Mus musculus: one gene and its partners. The main gene of each other region encodes a partner of the protein of the gene in region 5 in a complex. Links are inferred from orthologs where the notes say so. Each region holds a gene or a part of one and is shown on either strand. Other genes may lie near its edges.

The links.
Region 1: Tbp (region 5) and Taf12 share a complex: the UniProt entries of both Homo sapiens proteins name them as parts of the TFIID basal transcription factor complex. The link is inferred for Mus musculus from reciprocal best matches to the Homo sapiens genes TBP and TAF12.
Region 2: Tbp (region 5) and Taf3 share a complex: the UniProt entries of both Homo sapiens proteins name them as parts of the TFIID basal transcription factor complex. The link is inferred for Mus musculus from reciprocal best matches to the Homo sapiens genes TBP and TAF3.
Region 3: Tbp (region 5) and Taf11 share a complex: the UniProt entries of both Homo sapiens proteins name them as parts of the TFIID basal transcription factor complex. The link is inferred for Mus musculus from reciprocal best matches to the Homo sapiens genes TBP and TAF11.
Region 4: Tbp (region 5) and Taf1d share a complex: the UniProt entries of both Homo sapiens proteins name them as parts of the transcription factor SL1/TIF-IB complex. The link is inferred for Mus musculus from reciprocal best matches to the Homo sapiens genes TBP and TAF1D.
Region 6: Tbp (region 5) and Taf8 share a complex: the UniProt entries of both Homo sapiens proteins name them as parts of the TFIID basal transcription factor complex. The link is inferred for Mus musculus from reciprocal best matches to the Homo sapiens genes TBP and TAF8.
Region 7: Tbp (region 5) and Gtf2b share a complex: the UniProt entries of both Homo sapiens proteins name them as parts of the TFIID-containing RNA polymerase II pre-initiation complex. The link is inferred for Mus musculus from reciprocal best matches to the Homo sapiens genes TBP and GTF2B.

The regions. Positions count from the first base shown.
Region 1 is NC_000070.6:132,272,855-132,277,286, reverse strand, and holds the start of Taf12 (transcription initiation factor TFIID subunit 12), read right to left. Parts: upstream 2,913-4,432; 5' UTR 2,800-2,912; exon of another isoform or gene 2,730-2,799; intron 665-2,729; exon of another isoform or gene 503-664; intron 1-502. UniProt on the Homo sapiens protein: The TFIID basal transcription factor complex plays a major role in the initiation of RNA polymerase II (Pol II)-dependent transcription.
Region 2 is NC_000068.7:9,916,688-9,919,660, forward strand, and holds part of Taf3 (transcription initiation factor TFIID subunit 3), read right to left. Parts: exon of another isoform or gene 1,523-2,973; coding exon 1,416-1,522; exon of another isoform or gene 1,298-1,415; intron 7-1,297; exon of another isoform or gene 1-6. UniProt on the Homo sapiens protein: The TFIID basal transcription factor complex plays a major role in the initiation of RNA polymerase II (Pol II)-dependent transcription.
Region 3 is NC_000083.6:27,900,613-27,904,925, forward strand, and holds the end of Taf11 (transcription initiation factor TFIID subunit 11), read right to left. Parts: intron 2,577-4,313; coding exon 2,489-2,576; intron 2,013-2,488; coding exon 1,916-2,012; intron 1,178-1,915; coding exon 1,047-1,177; 3' UTR 514-1,046; downstream 1-513. UniProt on the Homo sapiens protein: The TFIID basal transcription factor complex plays a major role in the initiation of RNA polymerase II (Pol II)-dependent transcription.
Region 4 is NC_000075.6:15,304,602-15,309,056, reverse strand, and holds the start of Taf1d (TATA box-binding protein-associated factor RNA polymerase I subunit D), read right to left. Parts: upstream 2,844-4,455; 5' UTR 2,774-2,843; exon of another isoform or gene 2,609-2,773; intron 2,188-2,608; exon of another isoform or gene 2,067-2,187; intron 1,330-2,066; 5' UTR 1,304-1,329; coding exon 1,236-1,303; intron 533-1,235; coding exon 142-532; intron 1-141. UniProt on the Homo sapiens protein: Component of the transcription factor SL1/TIF-IB complex, which is involved in the assembly of the PIC (preinitiation complex) during RNA polymerase I-dependent transcription.
Region 5 is NC_000083.6:15,513,362-15,517,055, reverse strand, and holds part of Tbp (TATA-box-binding protein), read right to left. Parts: intron 3,527-3,694; coding exon 3,435-3,526; intron 2,827-3,434; coding exon 2,659-2,826; intron 1,441-2,658; coding exon 1,346-1,440; intron 353-1,345; coding exon 273-352; 3' UTR 1-272. UniProt on the Homo sapiens protein: The TFIID basal transcription factor complex plays a major role in the initiation of RNA polymerase II (Pol II)-dependent transcription.
Region 6 is NC_000083.6:47,495,775-47,499,468, forward strand, and holds part of Taf8 (transcription initiation factor TFIID subunit 8), read right to left. Parts: intron 2,865-3,694; coding exon 2,766-2,864; intron 2,467-2,765; coding exon 2,404-2,466; intron 929-2,403; coding exon 804-928; intron 1-803. UniProt on the Homo sapiens protein: The TFIID basal transcription factor complex plays a major role in the initiation of RNA polymerase II (Pol II)-dependent transcription.
Region 7 is NC_000069.6:142,763,789-142,768,226, reverse strand, and holds the start of Gtf2b (transcription initiation factor IIB), read right to left. Parts: upstream 2,981-4,438; 5' UTR 2,956-2,980; coding exon 2,939-2,955; intron 1-2,938. UniProt on the Homo sapiens protein: General transcription factor that plays a role in transcription initiation by RNA polymerase II (Pol II). Involved in the pre-initiation complex (PIC) formation and Pol II recruitment at promoter DNA.

The DNA of each region.
Region 1 (4,432 bases), on a different chromosome or scaffold from region 5:
AGGCAAAACATTCATACACATAAAAAATAAGGAGGCAGAGGCAGGAGGGTCTCTGTGAATTTGAGGCCAGCAGAATTGGTCTGCAGAGTTCCAAGGCAGTCAGGACTACACGGAGAGACCCTGACTCAATGCCCCTTCCCGATAAGAAATGAATAAACAAACAAACAAATCTTTAAAAATGGTACCAGAGGCTTTGGCTTCAAAAATCCCCCCTTTGCTTTGTGGATGGTTTTTCTCTGTGTGCTGGCTGTTCGGGTCTCATCACCTTTAGTAAAACCTTAAAAAAAATAATAGAGCAGCTAAGCTCCTGGGAAAATAATAGCTTCAAGTATGTTAAAAAAAAAAAAAAAAAACAACCTTTTCTTTATTCAGTGTGTCTGTGCTGATGTGGTCAGAGGATAATTTTGGGAGTTGGTTCTCTCCTTCCACCATGCAGGACTCAGGGACTGAACTCAAATCATCACTCCTTGTGGCAATCACCTTACCAGGAGAACCACCTCACCTGATCTGCTCTTCTTCTGTTTCTCCTTGAGATAAAGTTTTATGTTGACATTGAACTCCTGATCGTCCAGCCTCCACCTCCAATGTAATGGAATTATAGCCCGAGCATTCACAACATCGAGTATATGCTAGCAATTAACTGCAAAGTTAATCTGATGTCGCCCTAATTAAAAAATAAATAAATAAAAATAACCTACTCTATTATGGGAAAGATTCTACCTGGAATATTTATGCTTCTGTGAAAACACAGGAATTCAGATGTCAAATACTATGGAAGTATCTTAAAAGTTACAGTCCTTGACTTGAAAAGGAGTTAAGAAGCTGGTTTTGGTGATGTAGCCTTGAATCACCAGCGCTCTGAAGTCAGAGGCAGGTGCATCTCTGAGTTTGAGGCCAGCCTGGTCTACACAGCAATTTCCAGGCTAGGGGGAGCTAAGTAGTTTGGGGAGGAGGGGTGTGCTTTCATTCAGTGGAAGGATTTATAAATATTACTTATATTTCATTCACATGCATACTACACATGGCAGGAAATCCACTTAGAAAAGCTCAAGAAAGCTTTGGAGGCACATTTGCAGATAAGCTACTCAGTACTTTATGACAAACCCCTTAACCTCTCTGGACAGACAACAGGACTAACCATACTTAACTGTGGGGCTGTGATAAGGAAGGGGTGGAATACTTAAAAGTGTTTAAGTTGTTCATGGTGGAGGTGCACACCTTTAAACCGAACGCTCCGAGGCAGAGGCAGGTGGACTTGACTTTGAAGCCAGCCTGGTCTACACAGTGAGTTCCAGGACAGCCAGGGCTACACAGAAAACCCTGTCTTGAAAACAAACAAACAAACAAACAAACAAACCAAAAGAAAACAGAACAAAAAGCCCAAAGTGCTTAAGTTGTGCACGATTCATCTGAGTAGGTTTCAGTCCTGGGTCTTTATGAAGGGAAATGACAGGGTCCAAGTCACTCTTCTAAAAGCAATCCCTAGAAAATGTTCTAGGCCACATTTACTTGTGAATTTCTCAACATCTTATTGAAAAATAAAATTTATAAATAAATAAAATAAATAAAAGACTTTTCACTTAAAAGTTTGTTTCCTCCCTTGTAACATTTATGCCAATGCCATACATAATAGGTACTAAAATATTAAAATCCGTTAGAAAAAAATCCCTTCTGAGTTTGAGGGTAGAGATTCTAAAAGCATTTATTCAAATAATTTCAAGCAAGCATCTCTTCTTCGATGTACATGGTAGAGTACTGTATAACCTAAGAATCTGGCTCACAGTGATCCTAATCCCTCTTTGCATCCTCTTTTTCTTAAATGTAAAAGAATTCAAAGTGTTCTTTTGCTGCCCTTCCATCTATGACAGTTTGCTAGTGATATAGAGATCTGTGCTCAACGGGGGCTGAATGGAACAGGGCTTAAGGTACTTATCAAGTATATAACTGAGTTCAAACTGCTTTCAGCTTCACATCTGATTCACAATAATGAAGAAAAACGAAGACGTTTCATGTGGCTTTTCTAGGTTAAGTAACGGACACAAGAAAAAGCCTAAATGCCAAAAGCCAAATAGGCAGCGCCAAGAAGTCTTCCCCCGAATATATATATCCTAATCCTCCGGGTACAGAGAACAGATCGCTAAACCTTTTCAACTTTTCTCCCTTGAAGGCTGATCTCCCAGCCGTTAAGGACCCCCTAGTTCCTTCACTTTTAGGAGCTCGGGTCCTTACATCTCTGTCCCTCCAGAAACTCTTGAGTCTGAAAGCCCGGATCTTGTCCCCAAAGAAGACCCAGTCCTCACTGCCCGCTTCGATTCCCTTTCAAATTCAAGTCTTCTCTGCCTCCTTCTCTAGCTCCAGTCCTCAAGTCTTTGCTGCCCGGTTTCTGAATCCTTAGGAGCTGGGACTTTACTGTCCCGCTTCTGTCTCTTAGGAGCCCGAGTCCTCTCGGGCTCCACTTTTACCTCTCTGGAGCCTGTGTCTTCACGCCCCGTTTCGTTCCTACCCTCGCCTCCTATAAAGTGCGGGATCCTCACCATCCTGTCCCTCTCAGAAGGCTTTCCCTCAGATGCTGCAGAATCCACATCCGTCCCCGTTTCCTAAGTCTCTCATTCAGAGCTCGAGTCCCCAACAGCCGCTGCTTCTGCGAGCCCGAACCCCTCAAGTCCCGTCCCAAGAGCCTGGGCTCCTCAGCCCCGTCTCTTCCACAGCCTAGTTCTTCCAGCACTGACCCGCTGTGGGTCTGGGTCCTGACACCCTCCTCCCGCTCTTCGTCCTCAACTGCCAGGGCCCAAGACTCACAGGCAGCAGCGTCTATCTCCCCATGATATGCGGAGACTGCCCCAGTGAAGCTTTCGTCTCAGCAGCCGGTCCGACTGCGCGGCCCTCCCCAAGCACTTCCGGCACCGCTCCCCGCCTCCAACCCGGAAACGCGCGGCTCTTCCGGCCGCCGGGCGCGCGCCTCACTAGCGCAGGCGCAGATGGTACTACAACACGTGGTAGGACTGTGAGCCCAGCGCCTGGCTTGGCAGGTCGGGCTTTCTGCTCTGTGTGGCTTGCTGGTGGCGTGGGTCTACTCTGCGTCCCCTACCACGGCGTGAATCCCTGTCCTAGATGTTTCTTTACGACTCATCTCTTTCACGAGCGTGACCGGTAACCGACGGCCTCGGAGAGCTTCCAAGTCGCCATTTTTGGTTGGTGCCTTTGTGGTGCTATAAGGATGGGACCGCAGTTCTGCATAGATACCAACTATGGGACTCTCAACCAGCACGAGAACTTGGAGACTAGAGAAGCTGATTGTGCCTATTAGTTAATCTGTAGTCAACATACACTTGGACGAGAGCTGTCTGTGAGGGACTGGTTCAGTCCCTCACTTGGAGTATGTCATGTAATAGTGGAAGAAACGTGAAATTCCTAAGGGATGTAGGTTCTCAACTTGAATTGAAAATTCTTACTCCAAAGCCCGGGCTGGTACAGTAACTGTTAAACCACTAAGCCCTGAGATTTGAGTACTTTTTTTTTTTTTTTTTTTGCTAGGCATGTAAGCAACAGGCAGTTTCAGTCCCCGGCAAGGATTCTTAGTAAAATAGAGATCTCGCAAACGAGTGTATAGAAGTCTGACATCTCAGAGCTATCAACGGTTCCTGCCCATAAAGAATCCATTCTATCTTTGTATCTTCATCCCATTAGGCTCATCCACCCTCTTGGTCCAAAATCCTGGATGCAAGGGCTTAACCATTAAGTGGCAAACTGTTTATAACCTTATTTTTCTTTTTGGATTTATTTTATGCGGAAAAGTGTTTTGTCTGCATTTATATATGTACACCATGTGCATTCCTGGTGCACAAAGAGGTCAGAAGAGGGTATCTGAAGCCTTGCAATTGAAGTTACAGATAGTTGTGAGCCACCATGTGACTGCTGGCATTGACCCAGGCCCTCTGCAAGACTGCCAGGTTCGAGAGAAAGCCACCTCTCAAGCCCCAGCTTTATTTTTCTATCATGGTTCTCAGAGTTTGGCCAATCAGTTTTTGTGCTTGCATCCTTGGATGTACTAAACTGTTTTTTTGTTTTTGTTTTTGTTTTTTGCTGTGTGCTGGGTATATCCTGTTGGGGAAGTCAGTCATCATTGTCCTTAAGAGTTTACAGGCGCTAGGCAGTGCTAGCTCATGCCTTTAATCCCAGCACTTGGGAGGCATGGGCAAGATTTCTGAGTTTGAGGCCAGCCTGGTCTACAGAGTGAGTTCCAGGACAGCCAGGGCTACACAGAGAAACCCTGTCTCAAAAAAACAAGCAAACAAAAAAAAAGACTAGATGAGCAGTAAGGCTGAAGTTTGGTTAGGGGACAGGAAGGGACAGGTGGAAATGGGGGGTGGATTTTATTCAGTGTTCAGTGGAAAGGCATGAAAACTGAGGATTGAGATGGTAATTTGTATTT
Region 2 (2,973 bases), on a different chromosome or scaffold from region 5:
AGTCCAGTAAGTTTCTTATGTTTATAATTTTCTTTTTCTGAGGCAGGGTCTGCAAGCTGTATGCTTCCTAAAAAAAGTAAGTTTAAAGTTTTTGTTTTGTTATGTGTGTTCTGTGTTATTTTGCCTGCGCATCATTTTGTGTACCTGGTGCTGCCTGAGAACAGAAGAGCATGTCTGACTCCTGTCAATGGAGCTGCAGCCCATTGTGAACTCCCCTGGGGTGCGGGACTTCCCTGCTCGGGAGGAGCAGGCAGTGTTCTTCAGCTCTTGTGCCATGTTTTCAAAGGGGTCATTTCTTCCTGGTACAGTCAAGGCTGACCGTGACCTCCTGGTCTTCCTGCCTCTACCTCCTGAGCTGGGATGTGTGAACCCTCGCAGTCAGCTTCTGCAGCTGTGGGGATGGACCCTAAGGCTCCTCCTGCACGCTAAGGAACCACTCTACCAACTGAGTTAAACCAATCCCTTCTTTGTTTGATGCTTTAAAATGATTTTTTTAAGACATGGTGATACGGCTCAACAGATAAAGACACTGGCCACGATGCCTGACAACATAGTCTTCTGAGCCACATGATGGGCTTAGAAGTGGAGAACTGGCTCCTTTCAGTGGTTCTCTGACCTTCACATGCATGGGCTAAAATGATGTGCAAACCAATACAGCATGCTCCACTCCCACAATAGAAATAAGCACAAAAAATGATGTATGTACCAAAAATTCACCCAAAGGTTCTTTGCACTAATGTTGGTTATTTAGGCTATATTATATAATGCCTTCTGTATCGCGAGATCATATAGATTATTTGTACTTTCCATCAGGAATAGTATAATGCAAATGGCTTTGCTTTTACGTTTTAATTTGGGAGTAGAGGCTGAGGGTGGGAAAGAGTCTAAGATAGCCCAGGTTGACCTCAAACTCACTATGTAGCCAAGGCTGGTCTCAAACTTGTGATTCTCAGCATTAGAGTGCTGAAGTTAGCAGCAGCCCAGCTCACCCGGCTCGGGTCTATCGTAGACAGCACACATCAGATCCAAAGAGGCAGCTTAGGAATGAAACGCAGCTGAACACATTTTGGCTGAGCATCTTTGCAAGCTTCAGAAGCAAACCTGCTGTCTGAGTCTCTTCTCAAGCCCACACAGACACGTGTTGTAGCTCTCCCTCCCAATGCCAGTGACAGGGAGGAGGGGGACCCTACACCCTTACGTATTTTTATAAGAGAGGATATATATCTGAAGCCGAGCATCCACGGGCCAGGCTCTGGAACAACAGCACAGCTAACTCTTCAGTCACTTTACTCTGCAGGCTCCATTAGACTGTCGTCAAGAGAGGAGCTGAGTCCGTCTAAGATGCTAGCTGGGGAGGACACCTGCTCCAGCTCGACCTGCGTTGCTGTCTGACACTCGGGGGTGGGGGCACTCACCAGTGGTACCAATCGTCACAGTCGTCACAGCCAATCATCGGGCTCCCGTCATCAGGCTTGTTGCACCCTGGACAGATCCAGATCTGATTGCCCCACTCATCACGGATCTGGTGGTAAAGTGCAGAGCAGAAACAGATGGTGTGGGGGGAAAGAAGCAGGTAAGAATGCTGCTTTATACTGGCCACAGTAAACCAACAAGCTAGGTGCATGCATTAGCACTGTTGTACGCGACCATCAGTCGCCTCTGCTCTGGATCCATAAAGAGGAGAACACCTGGTCATTCAGGAACAGCGTCCTCCTCCTCCTCTTCCCTCACACACTCCCTCCTCTCACTCTCTCCTAGCTCTCTCCCTCTCAGTTTCCCCTACTCTTACACTCTCCCTCACACACCCCGCTCCGATTTGTTGTTATTGTTGTTGTTGAGGCAGATCTCATGAGCTCAGGCAGGCTTGGCTTGGCAGTCACTATATAGTCCAGGCTGGTTTTGAACTGCAATCTTTGCCTCTACTTCCTGAGAACTGGGATTTCTGGTGTGTGCTGCCATGCCTGGATAGAAGGACACATTTCTAATGCACATTCTAAACTGCTTTATAAATCACTAAAAGCAAAGCATCACAGAGTCATCTCTGGGAACCGTGGAACACAACCTGAGTCGGCTTCACCTAAGAATCCTATAAGCTCACAAACCCCCAATGATTATGGGGTGTCGGGCAGAAGCAAGTGAGAGTTAGAAAGCCCTCAGCTTTCTGTATCCCCTCAGCCACGGTCTAGCACAGACAGTCAAGTGTGCATGCGCGCCGTCATTACTCATTAGCCAGGCCCTGCTCCTGAGCTAGGTGATAAGATCAAGGATGGAAAAGAGCTGTTACTGAGTAACTTTCCATTCCCTTTATGACATTTTAGAAAAGCACAATCAACTAAAGGGCGGAGGAAAGAAGAGGCTCATGGGGCCAACGAACTAAATGATTATTATGCTCCAAATGCTGTGTGTTCTGGAAGTTCTGACTTCGTTCTCAACAGGGAGCGCTCCTAACTGGACAGCTTTCTCAAATGTCACATTATCAGAACTGCATGGACACTGGAAAGGAGCGCCGAGTCACGCTTCCTTTTAAATGTCCTCACAGTAAGACAGCATATGACTTCACTACAGATTTTGCAAGGTGTCCTCGTCCTATGCCTTTAGCACTGCACTGACTCGATATGTGAACGACCAGGGTTTCTTTGTGAGGGCTTACCAAGACTGGGCATGTTCTGCTGTATGCATGGACTTGCTCAAAAGTTACTATTTCAAAAATCTCTATAAAGCAATCCACCTTGACCTGAAACTGTTCTAGAGGAATGTGGAGAAAGCTGTCTCTGACTGCCAGCTCTAACTTGGGGGACACTGCACCATGGGGAAAGAACCAGCAGCGTCCCCCAAGTGGGGGTGTCCAGTGGGTGAAGCCACCATGCATGGCTGGTCCTGCTGCTGGCTGACCTTACTTGACATTAGCAGACTTGTGACTCTGAGATACATTAAAAAAATTGCTATAGCACCACAGTAGGACCCAATATTTTC
Region 3 (4,313 bases), about 12 Mb from region 5:
TAAAGGCATGCGCCACCACGCCCGGCTGAATCCTCTACTCTTAAACTGCTGAGCATTCTCTCCAGGTCCAAGCTCAAGGTTCTTGTGGCTGCTGGGAAAGGGGCCAGGTGTGATGGTCACCGAGCAGCTTGAGAGCCCCAGGCAGGCTCCCAAGTTCAAGGCCAGCCTAGTTAACATTGTGAGTACTAGACCAGCCAAGGCTATATAATGAGACGGTCTCAAAAACAGATTTTTTTTCTACATGTAAAGCACCAGGCATAGTGGTGCTGTGAGGTTGAGGCCTGCCTGGTCTACACAATCAGTTCCATCACAGCCAGGGCTACATAGTGAGACCCCTGAGTTAAAGAAAGGAAAAAGACGTCCCCAAACCAAATACCAAGGTGGGTGGTAGTGGCACATGCCTTTCATCCCAGCACTTGGGAAGGTAAAGGCAGGCAGATCTATGAGTTCGAGTCCAGTCTGGTCTATAGAAGGAGTCCCAGGACAGCCAGGGCAACACAGAGAAACCCTGTCTTGAAAAACAAAAGCCAAGTTTTATTTCAACATAGGAAGAACAATGAGTTTTGTCTGCAACAAAATAAAATAAACTTTCCCACACAGGTTGGAAAAGTTTAATGATCCCTCACAAAATCCATAGGAGAACCTGAAATGTTAATGGTGAGAAGCGTGTCACGGTGACTTCACCGCAGATAATCGCAAGTTTATGTTTTGAAAACCAGAGCAAGAAACAACCTGAATCTTAGCAACTTTAGGTTTCAATATGAAGCCACTAGAGTTGTTCTGTTTTTCTCTGAAACCATCTCCTTCTCCAGAAGATACTAAAGGCCCCTGTATATTTTTTCTTCAAACTAGCCAAGAGTCAGTAAAAGTCTTCAACATGCCTGAGGACAGTCCATGACTGAGTGAAGGCAAGTCTGAGTCACACTGCATGCCTTGTAGGTGTGACCGAAACATTAAAATCGGCATCCTGCGTCCCGAGCTCACCACCACCAAAGCCCCAGGACAGAAGCCCGACTCTGAGAAGTCTGGAACAGTCTCCCTTAGATTTAGAAGAAGGTGATCTTCTTGTGCTTTGAGTTGGGGATTTGCCCCTTGGACTTCAACCTCCGGACGGCCTCCCTCATGTGCTTGGGCTGCAGGGGTGGCGTTTCTCCCCATTTCTCACACACGTCCAGGGCTGGGGTGGGGAAAGGAAACAGTATCATCACATGAGATTCACTAGTCACGACTCAGGATGTAATTCTGTCTTTTGTGAGATTTGCTAAAGAAACAAGCCAAGTGTTTTTCCTTAAGAGAACACTATAAGCCGGGTGTGGTGGTGCACGCCTTTAATCCTAGCACTTGGGAGGAGAGAGAGGTGGATCTCTTGTGAGTTTGAGAACAGCCTGTATACAGTACAAGTTCTAAAACTGCCAGCCAGGGCTACACAGAGAAATCCTGTCCCAAAAAGCACCAACCCTCTCCCTACCTCACCAATACAGAAAGACATAAAAAAGGAAGTTATAAAGTATTTCTAACTGGCTTTGGCTTTATCCCACAGGGACTGTACTATACCACAAGCTAGAAATTAGCCATGAGAAGCAGCAAGCTTTCTCCCTGACAGGGAGAGCTCTCAGCAGGGCGCTGCTATCAAGGCATTGCTTTTGAAGTGAGGTCTGCTGATGAAAAGTACCGAGCTGTCTTCTTCGCCCTGGGCTATGGAGAGGGATTTCCTAGATGGCCTCATCCCCTCCCCCCAGCTCCACGCACCCAGTAATAAAAACAGCCATGCTCTCCTTAAGATGAGGCTCCCTATAGGCTCCACCTGAAAAGCGAGCAGCTGGAAACTCCCACATCCCTTACATGCCTCGGTGGAGGTACTCTTGGGAATGCGATCCCTGTGAGAGCAGTACAGGCTGTGACCGACACTACTCACCTTCTTCTACCACCTCCCCGACAAAAACCTTAGAAATGCCAGACATGGCAATCACAACATTCTGAGACACAGAGGTGCCAGTGATGGACTGGATCAGCTTGGAAAAAAGAAGAAGCTGGTGTTAGTATGGTCAGGGCTGGCCTGGAATGCAGTGGCAGTAAATGACGGCCAAGAGCCAAATGACCTGGGCTACAGTGATGTCGCAGTGTTAAGAGTGCCCTTCGAGAGGCCTAGAGTTCAGTTCCCAGCACCTACAGTGGGTAGCTCACAACGACCTCTAATCTGGTTGGGGATCTGATGCCCTCTTCTGACTCTCACGGGCACACACATACATGTATTCATTTACTCGCAGACACAGCAATAAAAAACAGCAAAACAATTCCAAACCCGCCAAAGGTTCATAGGCACTGACTTGCTGGAGTTGGCCAGATGGTGAGAGGTGGTTCTTTCTCCCTCCTAAGCAATCTCACACACGCCTCACTTCAGAGCTGATGGACACAGCTGTTGCACTGTAGTGACTGACACACACACACACACACACACACGCACGCACGCACGCACGCACAATCTTACCCTTTTAATGGCCGCCTTGGGGAAAGCTGACCTGCGATACATTTCATAACGGTTCAGCTGCTCCTCAGAAAAAGAAGAGACCAGGATTCTAGACAAAAAAATTTGAGTAATTAAGATGGTTAATGAGGATGACTACTTCATTAAGTCAACAAACACAAGCGGCAGACAAACACTGTTTCAAAGGGTCTCTAGCTTAAGGCTTTGTGCTCTTGAGGAAGGGCAAGGTTCCCACCCCTAAGGAACTTTGGAAAGAGAAAAAGGAAACATAATTTCATTAGACAGAAGCAGCTGGCTATGGTGGTGTATGCCCTTTGCTTGTTCTAAGAGACAGCAATGTGAGGAGATAACATCCGACTCTATGTCGGCTGGATTTCACACTGACAGTAAACATCTACTAGAGAAATTTATGTTCAAATCAGGGTTCTTCAGCATTAAGTTTACAGGGAAATCAAGGATAACCTTATACTTCTGATTTTCCTGGCTCTACCTTCCAGAGTGTGGGACCCCAGATGTGCCAGCACATCTGGTTCCTGAATGCTTTGCAGTCTACAGACTGAGCTCCAGCGTCAGCCCTAATGCTTGCATTTTAAATTATTGAGTCTGCTTACTATGCTTGTGTGCTGGGTGTACATGTAGGGGCATCCGTGGTGAAAGACTACTTGAGGAAGCCAGCTCTCTCCATCACGCGGTCCTGGGGATTGAACTCAGGTGTCAAGCTTGATGGCACATGCCCTTACCTCATGGGCCAATCACTAGCCCTGTGTTTCTTTAAACAAACAAACAAACGTCTCAATGTAAGTCTGTCTGTTTGTGTCTGTGCATGTTTGTGCAGGTGTCCATGGAAACCAGAGGCCGAGCCAGATCCCTTGGACCTAGAGTTATAGGCATTTGTAAGCAGCTTGACATGAGTGCTGGGTCTTACTGGTCCTGTTAGCGCTGATAGCTCTTAGCCTCAGAGCAGTTTCTCTAACCCCCTTTATTCTTTATAGTTAACTCTTTTAAATAAATAAAAAGATGGCTGAGCCAGTTTTAGAAGATGAACCATCACTTAATAGGAAATTCACAAAAATATCAATGGCTAATCAAGATGGAGAAAAAACAAACGAAACAAACAAAACAACTCAAAACCTTAATTATTACCAATGAACTTGAAATGATCAATTAAACAAAATCACAGTTTTCTAAGTCTAGAAATATGTTGAGACATCTTTGAAAACATTTATACCAGTGTGTTTATACAGGTATTTTATCATAGAAAGAAATGGGTAAGATGTAGAGATGTTCCCAGAGATGGAACACGATGTTGTTAAAAGAAACAAAATTTAAAAAATCCTAGCCAAGCCGGGCGTGGTGGCGCACGCCTTTAATCCCAGCACTTGGGAGGCAGAGGCAGGCGGATTTCTGAGTTCGAGGCCAGCTTGGTCTACAAAGTGAGTTCCAGAAGAGCCAGGGCTATACAGAGAAACCCTGTCTTGAAAAACCAAAAAAAATAAAAAAAAAAAAAAAAAAAAAAAAATCCTAGCCAGAGTAAGTGCAGGGACTGATGGTGTGACTCACACATAGGTGAGATCAGTGCAGCGGGAGACACTGATGTCCATGAGGACATTGCACAAATATTCCCAGATAGACACTCTTGGGATAAGCGCTACTAGCTGGATTTTGAGGTTTGTTTTGTTTTGTTTGTATTCTGAGTTATTTGCAATGAGCCTATATTTACTGAAAAGGAAAAACAATGACCAAATGTAGTATAAAGCCCAAACATTTAGAAAAACCAACTATTTACTGTCCTTTACATGTATGCATGTATTTTGTGTCTGTCAGGACC
Region 4 (4,455 bases), on a different chromosome or scaffold from region 5:
GAAAATTGGAGCACTTTATATGGATGTCACTATTGTTAAAAGTAACAATCTGTTTCAGGTGTCCCTCAAACAATTAAGAATGGCCAACAAACCATTCAATCTTACCTAATGTATTCACCTACATTTAAAAAAAAAACTCACCTCATATGTTAAAATTTTCTTCCAAGGTAAAGGTTTTCTTCCACTCTCAGATTCTAAGAATGGAAACACAGCTCCTTTGTCTTTAATTTGTTTTGCATCTATTTGCGACCTTCTAGTGATCCTCGTTCCCGATGGTTTTCCTCTTGGTCTTCCTCTTGGTCTTAATTTTGGCTCATATTTTCTCTTTTTCCTCTTTTTCCGTTTCTTTTTTTTAAATCTTTCAAAAATAGCCTTTAAAGTCAGAGGCCTTGGTTCTATAGAAGAGTCACTTGATGAATCTGTTTCAACACTTGCAGGTAAAGTAACACGTTTCACAGTAGGGTGTCTTTGCTTTTGTATAGGTGAAGGAGCACACTGAGTTTTAAATAAGCTGCCATCAGAGGAGTCATCACTAAAACAAAAATGAAACTGCATCAGTTATCATTAGCTATAATCCTCCCCGAGTTTCAAGGCCATGCTCCCAATCATGCATTCCTTCAGTTCACAGCTCCAACAGCCTTTACTGCCCTTAGAACACCAGACAAAAGCATGACAAACCTAAAAACCATGTTAAAATTTCAAAGTGCATTTCTTCAAAGATCAACCCCCTAAAATCATACCCAGCATTTTAGAATAGATTCAGTACCAGTTAACCACTAGTACTTACTATTATATCTAAAACAAGACAGTTGGTTAAAATGTTCAGTTTTAACTTTCAAAAGCACCACTTAATCACTAAAGCTTCCACTATCTACCTACTAAACAAAAATGGGCCAATAAAACCAGAACTAGCCCCCCAAATGTAGTTTTCTTGGAAAAAATAAACTATGTTCCATTCCTACATGTTCAGGTTGGTAGAATTATACAGTTTTAATCAAACTGTCAAGCTAATATAAATGCTAATTGAGGTTCTCTCTATCTATTTTAAGTACAAGCATTACAAATAACTTGCTGGAGTGCAGGGTGTGGTAACATGCCTTTAATCCCAACTCTTGAGAGGTAGATGGGCAGGATTACCTGGGTGAGGGCAGCCATGGCTCTATCTACTGAGATGTCTCAAAAATAAATTGAACATTTGGACTGAATCTCTAGTTTACCCACAAAAGCTACCTTACCTTTGGTCTCCAGTATCTCCAGCTCTATCCGATGCCACACAGACAGAATTCACTTCTGATTGAGCCATCACTTTTCGCGGCCTTTCCCAATTTTCTGCAATCACAGATTTCAATGATGTACCAGCAGTCTAAGTTCAGCATACTCCTTCCCACTGTGTGAATTTCTGTAAAATCCCTATGGATAGTACATTTTATATCTACTTTAAAGCCTCTGAGTGGGCTTGTTTCCAGTATCCACATCGGGTTGCTCACAATCTCCTGTTAACTCCAGCTCCCTGTTAGTGATCTTTTGTCTTCCAGAGTACCCTCACACATATGGCATAGTTTTCTTTAAATATGTGAGTGAAAACAAGAAGCCACATTCCAATGCAGTTTGTTTTCTCACTAAATCTACCCCCAAAACCCGACATGGCTTTAACCACCACCTAGCCTCACAGTAGCATTTCTAATTCCAATCTGGGCTGCGAACTCGACACTGAAACAGAGTTCGGGTAGTTGGGATATGGCGATAGTGGCTCAAAAATCACTACTGATCAAATGGTCACAGGCCTGTAATCCTAACAACGTGTAAAAGAACCTTTAGATTATGGCTGAGACGATAGCCTAGCAGTTAAGTATACTGTCAATGGCCGGGCGTGGTGGCGCACGCCTTTAATCCCAGCACTCGGGAGGCAGAGGCAGGATTTCTGAGTTCGAGGCCAGCCTGGTCTAAAAAGTGAGTTCCTGGACAGCCAGGGCTATAAAGAGAAACCCTGTCTCGAAACCTCCCCCCCCAAAAAAGAAATGAATAGAATACTGTCAATGGACTAAGATGAGACTCCCAGAACTCACATGCCAGCCTAAAAATAGCTGTAAGCAGTCCTAAGAGATTCGATGTCCTCTTCTGGGCTCTGTGAGCACTGCGTGCACGTGGTGTAGAAATATTAGGCAGGCAAAACGGCCATATGTACTAAAGGAGAAAAGACTACAGTTTTCCTAGGCTACACAAAATCCTAGAACTAAAAATAATCACAACTTTCGAGGATAAGAAAAACAGGGTGACTACGACCTTAGATTGCAAAATGCCCGCTACATGAATTGCTTTTTTAAATTAACCCACCAAAACTGAAATTTAAGGTTGACCCGGTCGCCCCAACGATATGCCTGTGAGTAAATCAAAGATAATTCCTAGGAATCACTCCCACCTGTACGCTACTTTACAGTTCCGAGACTACAAGCTTTGGAGGCCACGTGGTGAGCTGCGTCGACTATGCGCCGTGGGCCCGCTGCAAGACCCTTTCGGAACGTAACCTAAGAGATGTGCGCAGGCAGCACGCGACCCCTTACACGGCACTAAAAACGCCCTCCAGGCCCAGAACACCTCGGCCTCTCCCAACAGCGACCCGGAGCCTCGTGCGGCCTGCGGATGGCGGGATTCCGGCCCGCTGCTCTGGCCCTACAAGAGCGCCGTTTCCGCGCGGACCGCAGCCCAAAGAACCCCGCCCTGCGGCCCCGTCGCCCGCAGCAGACCTGAGCGGCCACAGTGAACAACCGCTTACCTCTTCCGCCGCGTCGAAAAGAGCGCTCCCGGCGCCCAGCAGCCGGACTAGGACAAGGACGAAATCTCGCGTGAGTACACGTTGGTGGGCGTGGCTGTGCGTGTGGTGGGCGGGCCTCCGGGAGGGGCGGTACCCCGGCTCTCCCTTGGCCTAGAGCTATCAGAAAAGACTGGCAGGAGACTAAACCTGTGTTCGAACCTGAGTGGAAAGAAGGCCTTCCTGCAAGTGGGAGGACACTGCGGGCCAGGTGAGCGTCGATTTGTTGTGGTGACTGAGCCCGCAGTGTGCCAAGCTCTCTGTCAGACTAAGGGTGGCATGTGTTATGGATTTCTGTACTGTCCCTGTGTCCTCACTTGCCTCCTACTTTTTTTTTTTTTTTTTTTTGGTTTTCGAGACAGGGCTTCTCTGTGTAGCCCTGGCTGTCCTGGAAGGCACTTTGTAGACCCGGCTGGCCTCGAACTCAGAAATCCACCTGCCTCTGCCTCCCGAGTGCTGGGATTAAAGGCGTGCGCCACCACGCCCGGCACCTTCTACTTTTTGACCCCTGCACACACTGTCCAACAGTCTGTGGAATCCTGCAGCATTGACTCTGGCTTTGCACCCATGCAGGTCCACTAGGACTAAGTTGTAAGGGAACATTACAAACACCTTATTGAGTGCGTGACAAGATCTGTGGTGAGAGGGCAGATATTACTATCCCTTGAGTTCTCATAGACAAACACATTTCAAATGTAAAGTTGTTGGCCTAGAGATATAACTGGATTATAGAGAGCTTGCCTAGTGTACATGGCACCACGGAGAAAAAAAAATAAAAACAAAAAAAGCAAACAAAGACCTGTGTGTGTGGTTAGATCAGTATGAATATAGGGTCCTATGTGACTGAATGAACTATTTGCAAAGCTGTAAAGCCAGCCTTGTGCTTGAACCCTACTAGTCTAGTATATCGTAAAAGTGTGGTATATCATAAGTACCTAATAATTAGCAATATATTGTGTGCAATATATTTGGAAGAGAGAAGTCCCCTCTAGGTGGAAGATGGGCACTTCTCCTGGTGCTGCAGGATTATTCTGAAGTCTTCCTGGTGTCAGCCAAAGGGGCCATTTCTTCACTGCTGATTCAGCTTAGGGTGGGGTGCATTCTGGATTTACAGACCTGCCTTTGAGTTTGTTGTTGTTGCTGCTGTTGTTTGACACATGTCTCTTTATGTAGCCCTGACGATCCTGGAACTTGATTTGTAAACCAGGCTGGCTTTAACCTCACAGAGAACCTCTTGCCTTTACAGCCCTCTGCCTCCAGTGCTGGAGCTAAACATGTGCACCACCATGCCTGGCTTGAACCTGCTTTTGAATCCTGTTTCTGCCATGTAACAACTGAATGATCTTGAATAAATTTTGTTTCCTTTTCTGTACAGTAAGAAGTACAATATGTCTGTCATGGATTTGAGAATTTTGAGGGACTTTAAAGGGCCTGACAATTTCTGAATACAGGATGGCCTTAATCATGACACTCAGCATGATTGTCACCGTTAGCCTGTTGCTTTCCGTGTCGTTTCTCCCCCTGCACGTTTCTCTACCCTGTGTCTGAGCCATTGGCTCCCACCACTTACATCAGGAAAGTAAATATCTGCCTTCATCTGGCTGGAAGCTGTGCTGGAGCAGCTCTGACTATCGATGGAAACCATT
Region 5 (3,694 bases):
CAATCACCAACAGCAGTGTTTAAAATCTAAATATAAATAAATGGGCAGTGCCGCCCAAGTAGCAGCACAGAGCAAGCAACTCACAGTAGTGCTGCAGGGTGATTTCAGTGCAGAGGGGGAACCTTTCTAGTATCCTGCAGTAGGACACACAGTGTCACTTCATGCTGCCACCTGTAACTGAGTGTCCTCACCAACTGTACCATCAGTGGTACCAAAACTGACTGGTTTTAAAAAACACGTGGATAGGGAAGGCAGGAGAACATGGCAGACAACTATGTGGTCTTCCTGAATCCCTTTAAGATGGGGTAGATGTTTTCAAATGCTTCATAAATCTCTGCTCTAACTTTAGCACCTACAAAGACACATGGAACAGAAATGAGATGGTTAAGAAGTAGCATCATTACCTTAAAACATAAATACAGTTCTCTCTATACCTAGTTAAGACAAACAAATGGTGGAATCCCCTTATCACCATCCTAGCTGTACCCACTATTCTACCCCCTTTTTTTGAGACAGGGTTTCTCTATGTAGCTCTGGCTCTCCTGGAACTTGCATAGACCATGCCTCTGCCTATGAATTACTAGGATTAAGGGCCATGCCCAGCTAGCTCTCCAGCTATGTTTTTAGAACAGTATTTTCTAAGTGTTTTAAAAAGTGATACACGGGCTGGTGAGATGGCTCAGTGGGTAAGAGCACCCGACTGCTCTTCCGAAGGTCCGGAGTTCAAATCCCAGCAACCACATGGTGGCTCACAACCATCTGTAACAAGATCTGACGCCCTCTTCTGGAGTGTCTGAAGACAGCTACAGTGTACTTACATATAATAAATAAATAAATCTTTAAAAAAAAAAAAAAGTGATACACTTAGCGACTTTTAAACACCCTAGACCATCATTTCCTCACTATATAGTTGGTCTGAGATCAGGATCCACAAGTCAGCAAGACAATATCTACTTCCTACTCTAGTTCCTTCCCATACTTGGACCTGAGTGACATGGTATCTGACAAGCACTGAGGACTGAAATCTTATTCTCCCAACTGTTGGTATTCAATTGAGCTCTTCTCAGTCTTGTAATCATACTCTACTAACCCCCAAGGTGCAAGGGCCAACTGAAAACAGTCAGTGTCCCATCCCTGCCTGCTCCCACAGTCAAGCTTAATCTAGCTGACGGCTACATCAGCAGCAGGCCTCTGCAGTTCTTCTCATTCTTCTACCCTTCTCAAGAAGGTTAGAATGGTGTGCAAAACTTAAAAAGCATCCTTACACATGGCTAGACAACTGTTCTAACACAGAAAATGCCACCCCAACATCCTTTGCAGTTTCATCCACTTCCTTTCAACTTACCTGTTAATACAACTTTTCCAGAAACAAAAATAAGGAGAACAATTCTGGGTTTGATCATTCTGTAGATTAATCCAGGAAATAATTCTGGCTCATAGCTAGAAAGAAAATGGGAATACAGTTTAGAAATCACCAGTTCTTTGTGTTTCTGAATACAAGAGGCTTTGTGCCAGAAAGTCCTGAGTAAAGAATCCAGGTGTCACAAGTAGGACACACAGGAAGAAACCAGCCAGGAGCCATGAGTCATGGACATAGCCACCAACTACTAGCTACATGTCCTCCTATCACTTAATGCTATCTTCAGACTCTAGAGGTTCTGTGATAAAAACAAGAGTTGTATACACACGGTCTGAGCCTTATTTAGATGCAGTTAAAGCTAGTCTAGTTATAGCACCTTATCAAAATCTCACCATTCACTCCTAAGCTAAGAGTGGCAGTCAGCCCTGTAATCATCTCACCTTCCTGAACAGAACTCTCCTGGAGATGCCTGCTTTTCTAACAGGTGCCTTAACTAGAGTGAGAAACCAGACATGAGCTTGGCCATGAACCGACTCCCTGGTCATACCATCTATTCGAACGGACATTAGTTAACATACTCTAACACAGCGATTTCAGGTTTCTTAGTTCAGTCTACAAAAGGATCTGCCTTTCTTGTGAGTGATCCAGAGATAAACTCAGGACAGGTCTATATGAGGAAGACAACATGAGTGAATTCCTGAAACTCAAACAGGAGTTTCTATGATGAAAATTGTACCCAATATGTCAGGGTTAAAAGTGACATGTGCAGAGGCCATGGAGCAAGAGGAACCTGGTGAGTACGAGAGAACTGGTAAGCTCAGTGGTGTGGCTGCAAAGAGAAAACAGATGTTATAAGGATGTGAGTAGGGATGCTCCACCAATATTCAGGCAGAGAAAGGCAAGAAATAATACTGGGCAGTCTACCTCTGCTGCTCATCTTTACACTGTGTTGGTATGCTGACAAAAAAAGATTCAAACTAGGAGAAAAGTGATAGAAGAAACTACAAATTCATGTATTTACATCTACTTACTGACTAACAAAATGGTGAGGCATACATACAGAGGTGAGCTAAATCATTCCAGTGAGAGAGTCTGGGTGTCATGTGACTAAGGAAATAGGGATTGTAAAGACAGTGGAGAGTGCAGTAGCTCAAATGTAGCAATACCTTAACTTAACTTGCAGTTATGTCATACATGCTTAGAAACTGCACATCTTATATGTACGTCATCTGAAATGATGCCTGAGTGGGTTATAAATGGACTGTTGGAAAACTACTCCCCATACTACTTAGACCTACCTACTGAACTGCTGGTGGGTCAGCACAAGGCCTTCCAGCCTTATAGGGAACTTCACATCACAGCTCCCCACCATGTTCTGGATCTTGAAGTCTAAGAACTTAGCTGGGAAGCCCAACTTCTGCACAACTCTAGCATATTTTCTTGCTGCTAGTCTGGATTGTTCTTCACTACAGAAAGGAAAATCAGTGAGTTATATATGGAAGCCTAATAGAGTAATTTAGATGAATAACAAACAGAGTCTAAATTAGGAAAGTAATTAAACTATCTCCGTGTCCTCAACAGAAACCATAAACCTACCAAAACATAAGCCTTCTATGTGGCACATTACTGTCAAGCCCTCAGATTTAAAGGACTCGATGTAGTGTGTGGTTCAATTAGCATGGCCACCGTCATCACCTCATTATGACCTATAAATCTCTACTGAAATGAAAACTTCATCTTTATAAAAAAAATTAGTAAAATGTATTATTGGGAAATACAAATTCTATCTTCCTTTACATCAAATCTCTATCCATTTTTAGGACACCACTATTGGATAAAGCTATGATTTTCCAACTCAAGAGTTTTCATTTGAATATCAGAATGCGAATGGCAGTGCTACAACCAGAGCCCAGGAGATCAGGAGTAACAGTGTGGGGCACCAAAGCTATGCAGAGTAATCAGAGCAAACCATTCAAAAATAACATGAAAAGTGCTAGCCTGATAACAGAAGGACGCTAGAGCCTTTTTTCTTTCATAATACACCCACTAGAAACAAAGCATTCCTTAAGGATACCTCTTGGCTCCTGTGCACACCATTTTTCCAGAACTGAAAATCAACGCAGTTGTCCGTGGCTCTCTTATTCTCATGATGACTGCAGCAAATCGCTAAAATGGTCAGAAAGAGGCATTAAAAAGGTGTGAACGAAAGGGTAAAAAGAAAAGCTGTCTTCATGATGACTGAGGAAACAGAGCTGTGGTGCTGTAGGTCCCAGGTCAGACTATCTTTGCTACATCAGATATTCTTACCAATGAACTTAAAAAGTATCACTTAAA
Region 6 (3,694 bases), about 32 Mb from region 5:
AGTTCAAATCTCAGCAACAACATGGTGGCTCACAACCATTCGTAATGAGATCTGACACCCTCTTCTGGTGTGTCTGAAGACAGCTACAGTGTACTTGCATATAATAATAATAAATAAATAATATATAATAAATAATGTAATAAATAAATCTTTTGGGCTGGTGAGATGGCTCAGTGTGTAAGAGCCCCAGCTGATCTTCTGAAGGTCCTGAGTTCAAATCCCAGCAACCACATAGTGGCTCACAACCATCCGTAAGGAGATCTGACTCCCTCTTCTGGAGTGTCTGAGGACATATAATTACATATAATAAATAAATAAATAAATAAATCTTTAAAAAACAAATCTTAAAAAAAAAAAAAAAAAGAAGCTACAGTGTACTCACCAACATAAAATAAATAACTTTAAAATGGCACTGGCCATTCTTTCAGAGGACCTGGGCTCAATTCCCAGCACCCACATCCAATTCTAGGTGATCCAACGACACACACACAGATGAAACCCTCACACACATAAAACCTCTCAAATAAACCCTAACTCTTCCTGGCCAGGTTGCTTTACTCTGTGCTTCCTCCCCTTCTGTCTCTCTTTGTGAGACAACATCTCACTCTGTACTTCAGGCTGGCCTCAAATGCACAGCAACTCTTCAGCCTCAGCCTTCCAAGGGCTATGATGAAAGGGGTAATTGCATATCAAGATGGCATCCCCGTAGGAAAGTCCTCAGGGAGCTGAAGGTTACTCTCCCCTGCAACCTCCATCAGTCATGTTTCACACACGCACAGGCCCTGGGCAGCTCCCAAACTCACCGGAGTTTTGATGTAGGTGTGGGGATCCGGAAACTCAGGAAAATGGCTGGGGATGTGTGGCGGGTGGGGCCGGTTCTGCCCTGCAGTGAGGGCCTTGGGGGTCACTGGCTGATTGGTCACTGGAGCTGCAACAGATCGCAACTAGTTAATGTCTCCAACCCTGCTTGATATTTCAATCTGTGACAAGCTGCTTCTCTCTGCGGCTGTGGGGATGGCTCAGTGGGGAAACGGGCTTGTCACCAAGCCACTCTCTAAGAGGCACATGGTGGAGGGAGACAGGCAACTCCACAACGTTGTCCTCAACGTTGTCCTCACCTCCACCCACATGCCGCGGCATGAGCATGCACACACGTACAGATACGAGTACAGCCAGGAGGTTGTGCTGCACGCCTCTATCCCCAGCACTCAGGACACAGTGGCGAGCAGATCCCTCAGTTCGAGGCCAGCCTGGTCTACAGAGTGAGTTCCAGGACAGCGAAGGCTACAGAAAGAAATCCTGTACCTGTACCAAACCAAACATAAACAAGTTTCCCCCTCAAGTCCTAACACTAAAGCAGTTACTCCCTACTTAGCATAAGGGACCCACTTTTTTGGGGGGGGGGGGTTTAAGATTTATTTATTTATTTATTATATGTAAGTACACTGTAGCTGTCCTCAGACACTCCAGAAGAGGGAGTCAGATCTCGTTACGGATGGCTGTGAGAGCCACCATGTGGTTGCTGGGATTTGAACTCCTGACCTTCGGAAGAGCAGTCGGGTGCTTTTACCCACTGAGCCATCTCACCAGCCCCTTTTTTTTGTTTTTTTTTTTTGAGACAGGGTTTCTCTGTAGTCCTGGCTGTCCTGGAACTCACTCTGTAGACCAGGCTGGCCTCAAACTCAGAAATTCGCCTGCTTCTGCCTCCCAAGTGCTGGGATTAAAGGCGTGCACTACCACGCCCGGCAGGGACCCACTTTTATCTAAAGCAGACTAAATAAATCTTTTTATATAAAAGGATACATGATAAGTATTTTAGATTTTTGTTTGCTTCTTTTTTGAGCCCAAGTCCACCTGTGTAGCTCAGGCTAGCGTAGCCCTCCCTATCTACAGTACACTAGAATTCTAGAGCACCCCCACCTCCTCACAAGTACTAGGATTACAGGCGCATCCACGAAATAGCAACAGTTCAGATTAAGCAAACCGAAAACCTCTGCCTTTGCCACGTGAAAGCAATCACATACGGTGAGTAAATAAGCTGTATGCCAAGAAACTGTTACTAACAAAAGCAAGCACACTTTGTCCACAGACCCCAGCCCTTGCAAACCCTCATCTAGAGAAGCAAGAACTGTCACAGTTTTTTGTATGGTCATTTGCTCTTCGGGGCTAAAATGTAACAGCAGCAGCTCAGACATGGTGCAGCTGCCTGGAGACTGACCTTCACAGTTTAATCCCACTGCATGGACACAGCCAGTCTGTGAGCAGCTCACCACTCCAAGGACTGGGAGGGAGGGAGCCCACAGCAGGAAAACAGCTGCCTCTCTGGTGCCTGCCCTCTCCTCCCTCCAAGGCACACTACAATCACTGAGTACGTACTAAGTATCAGAGTTCAAAGCCACTTACGTGCAGTGATGACCATCCTCTGAGACCGTTTTGCATAGGCAGGTAGAGTGTCAACATTGAAGCCTAGGGACAAGAAAACTAGTCATTGCCATGTTCTGATCCTGGCGTGATACTGAACAGGAAAGGGGAGCTATCAGTGTGGAATGGGGACTTAAATCCCAGCTTAGCCACTCTTCTGCCTCTCAAGAGAACTCCCACAGGGACTTGGGAGGTCTCTGAGACAGGGTCCAAGGACTCCTTCCTCATACCTTTCTAACTAAAAGCAGATCAGGGGAAATAGGATGGAATTAAGACTCAGCAGACATGGAAACCCCCCCAGGCTTCCCCGTTCTCTGGTGATCCTACAACGGAGATACACTTACCCATTTCAACCAATGTGACCACGATGTCCGACAGTGTGGGCTGGGTCCTGGCTGTGTGCTCACAGTATGACTTAGCACTTCTCCCGATTTCTGAGATGTCTACAAGGATCAAAGGCCAGAGTTTCTCCAAAGTTCAAAATAAGATTACCAGGTGGGCCACCAGTTATGCTATATATATATATATATATATATATATATATATATATATATATGTGTGTGTGTGTGTGTATGTGTGTGTGTATGTACATATATATATATATATATATATATATATATATATATATATACACTTATTTATTTATTTATATGCCCAAGTGACCAAAGGCAGGGCTCAAACAGGCACTTGTGTGCATTCACACACAGCAGCACAGATTCTGTTGCAGGATATTTGTTCATACTGTGAACCTTGAGATTGTGGTGTTTACTAGAAAAACCTGTTTCTAGTTGTGGTGTGGCTTAGCCCTAGCACACACCTTTAATCCCAAACAATGAAGATAAAGTTAGTTTGTAGAAGGAAGCACCCATGTTCTAATTGAGTGGCAGACAAAGTGATGAATCAGAGAAAGGTTTGACAAAATAGGATCTGCCCAACCCTCATGAGGAGAGAGAGGAAAGGGAAGCTACTTCAGGGGTAGTGCAGAGAAAGAGGAAGGGAGGTCGTTTTCGTGGGACAGTTATACAGAGAACAAGCTAGACACAGGTGAAGACAGAACGAGCTAGAGGACAAGGAGCCAGAGGATTAGACAGATTGCCCACGTTAGTATGAGGTCAAGTCCAGCAATTCAGTAAGAAACTGAGAGAAGCCGGATTCAGCCAGCTTAGTGAGGAGTTTGAGTCAGAACAGCTGAGCTGACTAGTCAGGCAGATTCAGAAAGAATTAGGAAGGGGCGAGCTCATTCAGCAGTAAGTCTCAGAGACTGACAACATTC
Region 7 (4,438 bases), on a different chromosome or scaffold from region 5:
GATTTGAGAAAACAAGCTTTTAAAAGTAACAAAGATTCTCAGCAAAATCTTACAAGTTCTCCAAAGGGTGAGTGTTCTTTTAAAATTCACTTACACGATACAATAAACGGTTATATATTACAGTCATGGAAAGCACACACCTAAAACACAAAATCAACTGTTCTTATAGTTAACTATGCTTCTGTGGTTTTGGATCAAGTTTCTCCTGCTAGCTAGTACGATTCAAAATGTTTTAACAACCACATTGTGTTTTATTGACTTATTTTTAAGGATATATTTATTTTTGTCTTATAGGTGTTTTCCCTGCGCGTGTGCAGGTGTACTGCCTGAATGGTTAGTTCCCAGGGATACTTTGGAACTAGTTACCATGTGGGTGCAGGTCTTCTGCAGAAGCAACAAGTGCCCTTCACCACAGGTCTCTCTCCCTAACTACCAACAACTAAGTCACATGGAAAACTGATTTTTAAAAAATTCACTAAATAATCACAGATTTATTTACTTCATTAAAACATATCCTGGAGTCTTCTAATTGGAAAAATGAGAGAGGACAGGAACTGCTTTATACTTGTTCTGCAAACTTGTTAGAAAAAAATAAATCTTAAAAAAATAAAGTATTTCATAAAAATCAAAAAGCTGCAGAAATAAAGTAAAATGTTAGCAAAATAAGAGTGGCTCTCAATAAACAAAGCAGGAAATTAACCTAACAGTATGTTAAGGATTAACATAGTTTGGCACTACTAACAAGTCTATCAAGCCAGCTGTGATGGGACATGTCAGTATTCAGGAAGCAGAAATAGCTAGGCATGCTACCTAGTCAAAGCTACCCTAGGAACTATACATCGACTAGAGTGAGGCTGTCTCAACAGATGGATGGATGGATGGATGGATGGATGGATGGATGGATGGAATAGTAGGCCGAGGGGCTGGGAATCACTGTCAGCAGATAACTGTACATAGGAGTTCCAAGGCAGCTGACACTACAGCCTCAAAGACAAAAGTAGGTAAAGAGGCTGAGAATGGAGCTTAGTGGAAGATGCGTGCCTAGTATATATAAGTCCTGGTTTCAATCCCTAACATTTAAAAGAGGGAAACATGAAAAACTTTGCAGAGTATTTAAATGATACCGCCTTAAACATTATTTATTTATTTATCCAAATTATTTAAATATGAACATTTTGTCTGCATGTATGTCTTAGTGCCTACAGAGACAGAAGAGATGCCCTGGAATTGAGTTAGGAGTTCATGAGTTGCCATGTGGGTGCTGGAAAAGCACCCAGTGTTCCTAACCATGGAGCCCCCTCCCCCGCCCATAAACATTTTGAATGCTCAATGTGCACAACATCCTAAAAGATAGGCACAATCTTCATTTTACAGATCGCAGCCAAAAAGTTATTTACTGACGTCGGAATAAAGAGTGGGCATCAATCTGGACATGTTCTCTTCGAGAACACCAACCAGTGCCAATGCTTAGTGCCTACATGCCGCCCTCAAGGTATGACAAACTCTCAGGCAACTTCTCTCTATTCACACTGCTGGCAAAACTTGATAGCAACAGGAATGACACAGACTTAAGAGCTGGATGAGGGCCGGGCAGATCTACAACCCCACAGTTTTCAAGGTGGAGACAGAAGATTCGAGACCACTAACTCAAAATCAAACACTAGCTGTCCAGAAAAGAAATTAATTTCAAGGGATTTTTTTAAGTGAAGAAAAGTTTAAAAACTGTAACCAGTGATTTTACTATGTGTACTATTTAAACACTACAACTTGTGTTTCAAGAATACAGGAGTTCCTTTTCCCTAAGATGGTAAGCTGTGCCTACATATGAACACATCACCCATGGGAAATTTCAATAGTATTTGGGGAAGCTGAAGGTTCCTATGTCGCTACAAGGAAGCCTTACGTGACAAAACCACACCCAGATGGAATGATTAAATCATAATTAATCTAATTAAATCATAAAATCAGTAAACAAGATTGCCCATTGCTTCCACGCAAGAAGTTCACGAGGCTTCCTATGCCCACCTCCCACTTTTTATAATAAACAGCAGACTTGGAGGTTCCCAGAAAGGCCAAGTTTCTGTAAATAATGGCTTCCCCCGGTGACGTTTACCAATTCCACACATAGTAACCACCTCCGAAAAAAAAAAAAAAGTGCCAAAAGAACAGAACTTAATTTGATACTTTCTGTACATTCTGTGTTAACTGGAGACCAGTGGACGGATAATCAGAATAGGTATAGTGGCCCGCGAAAGGTCAACACGCTGGCATGACTCAGTTTACACATATGCCAGTATACTAATATCTACCTCATAGTGGTTACAAGAGATATAATTAGGGTCTGCAAAGCATTTTGGAGGTCACAAGATTAAAGGCTGTCTCTGCGGTCACAACACGCATTTCCTGTAGATATTAAGCAAACTACGTTTTAAAAATACATTTAAAATGACTTCCAGCATATGTAATTAATTTTCTGCAGACAGCATCTCCTTCAGAGTACGCAATGATACTTTTCGGGGTGGGGACAGGGGGTCTTTTAGGAGAATGAATCAAGTCTCCGTATGTGCTTTCGTTTCCACTTCTGGGGGGGCCATTGGGCTAGCGACCCTTTGCCACCAGACAACCAATGCTGACGTTTCTCAACTTTGCGGTTGTCAGATCGATAGGGACCTGGAACGTCGCTTTTCCAGCTCTTCGGAAACGGGGTTTCAGCCCCCTCCGGCTGGATGGGCCGTAAGGGAGAAAATACACAGAAAACATCAACATGACACAAAGACGGTTGAAGGGTCCGGAGACGGAGGCCGGGGCCGTGCGGATCCGCAGGGTCAAACCCGGGCGGCGATGACTCAGGTGGGTAAGGGACACCCGCGGCGGCCTTCTGGAGGAACCTGGGCCCCGCGATGCCCTGCTCCACTCGCTCCGAGGCCGTTGCACTCACCGGCTGGTCGACGCCATCTTCGCGGCTCCGCCAACAGCTCCGTCCGAAGCAGGAAGCAGCACTGGCTCCTAGACGCCCCGAGCCGGGCTTTTATGCGCGAGTCGCTCGCGCGCACTCCGCGCGGCTACGGGTCGGGAGGAGGGCTAAAAAGCGCTCGGTCCTTGACGACGCGGGCTGTGTACTTCCTGGTTGTCTCCGCTGCTGCTGCGTGGCTCCCGGCTGCTGGTTGATTGGCAAAATCTTCAAAGCCTGGCGGGATAGCACACCCCTTTGATCTCCGGAGGCAGAGGCTGGAGGATCTCTGTGAGTTTAGAGGAACCTGATCCACACAGGGTGCTCCAGAACAGCCAGGAGGAGGGAGAGAGAGATAAAGAGAGAGAGACAGACAGACAGACAGACACAGACACACACAGTCTCAAACAAATCAAAACAAAAAATCAACCCAAGAAGACTCAGAATGTGCTGCGCCTGAGCTAGCTCTCAAACAGAGGAAATTAAAATGGGAGTTGCCTCCTCGGGTGATACTCTCAAGTATTCCTGCACCAAGAAGGTAGGAGGATCTGGAGTTAGACCTCGTCTCAAACAAAAAACACCTTTAAATAAACAAACACACAAAATAACCAACACACAAGGAAACCAGGTTGGTTGAAAGGGGCAAAGCGCTCGCACCAAATTCCTTTCCTTTATTTTCAAGTCAGTTTTCCCTATCTGATTGAATGTCTCATTTGCCCTGACTAAAGAATTTGGAATAAAAAGAGAAATTAGTTGTTGTCTTCAGGAGTAGGTATCAATTCAAGCTCTGTCATTGGCCAACATGATTCAAAGTTCCTACATGTCCTTTATCTCAACAGTGTAGGCATGGAGGGTATCTGGCTCACAAACCCTTCTAGAATTGCAAGAGACAGCCCTGCTATGACCCATGTTGTTGTTGTTCCCCAATCATCATCGAATATTTGACTGAAAACCGAGTATAGGAAATGTAATAAAACAGCTAACGTCTATACAAGGGCCTCACAAGGCAGGTCTTGGGGGTCACCCTTGTAATTCTAGAAGTTAGGGTGCAGAGGTGGGAGGTCATGAATCCCAAGCCAGCCTGACCTGCAGAACAAGACCTTGTCTCAGCTCCCGTCCTCTTACCTTAAGGCAACAGTGCTACTTTCTTGTAAATAAACCATTCCCAACAAAGTCTGAATTAAGGTAACTGCAAGTTGGGTGTCTTCCACTGAGATGAAAACTCAGTAAGCATTTTATTTGTTAATGGAAATCAAATGCCATTAAGCAGACATTTGTTGAAGTGGGAATTTCTGGTTTTGTTAGGGACTCAGTTGTATCATGTGATGTTTTTCTGGAAACTGTCTTATGTAACGGTGTTTTGCCGAGAACAGGCGCAGGGTGTTTTTCTGAAAACTGCCTAGTGAAAGGGCGTGTGATGTTTTGCTACGGCGGATGCTTGAGGGGACATATGTTTGGAAAGAGCATAAGTATAACCCAACAGACGGC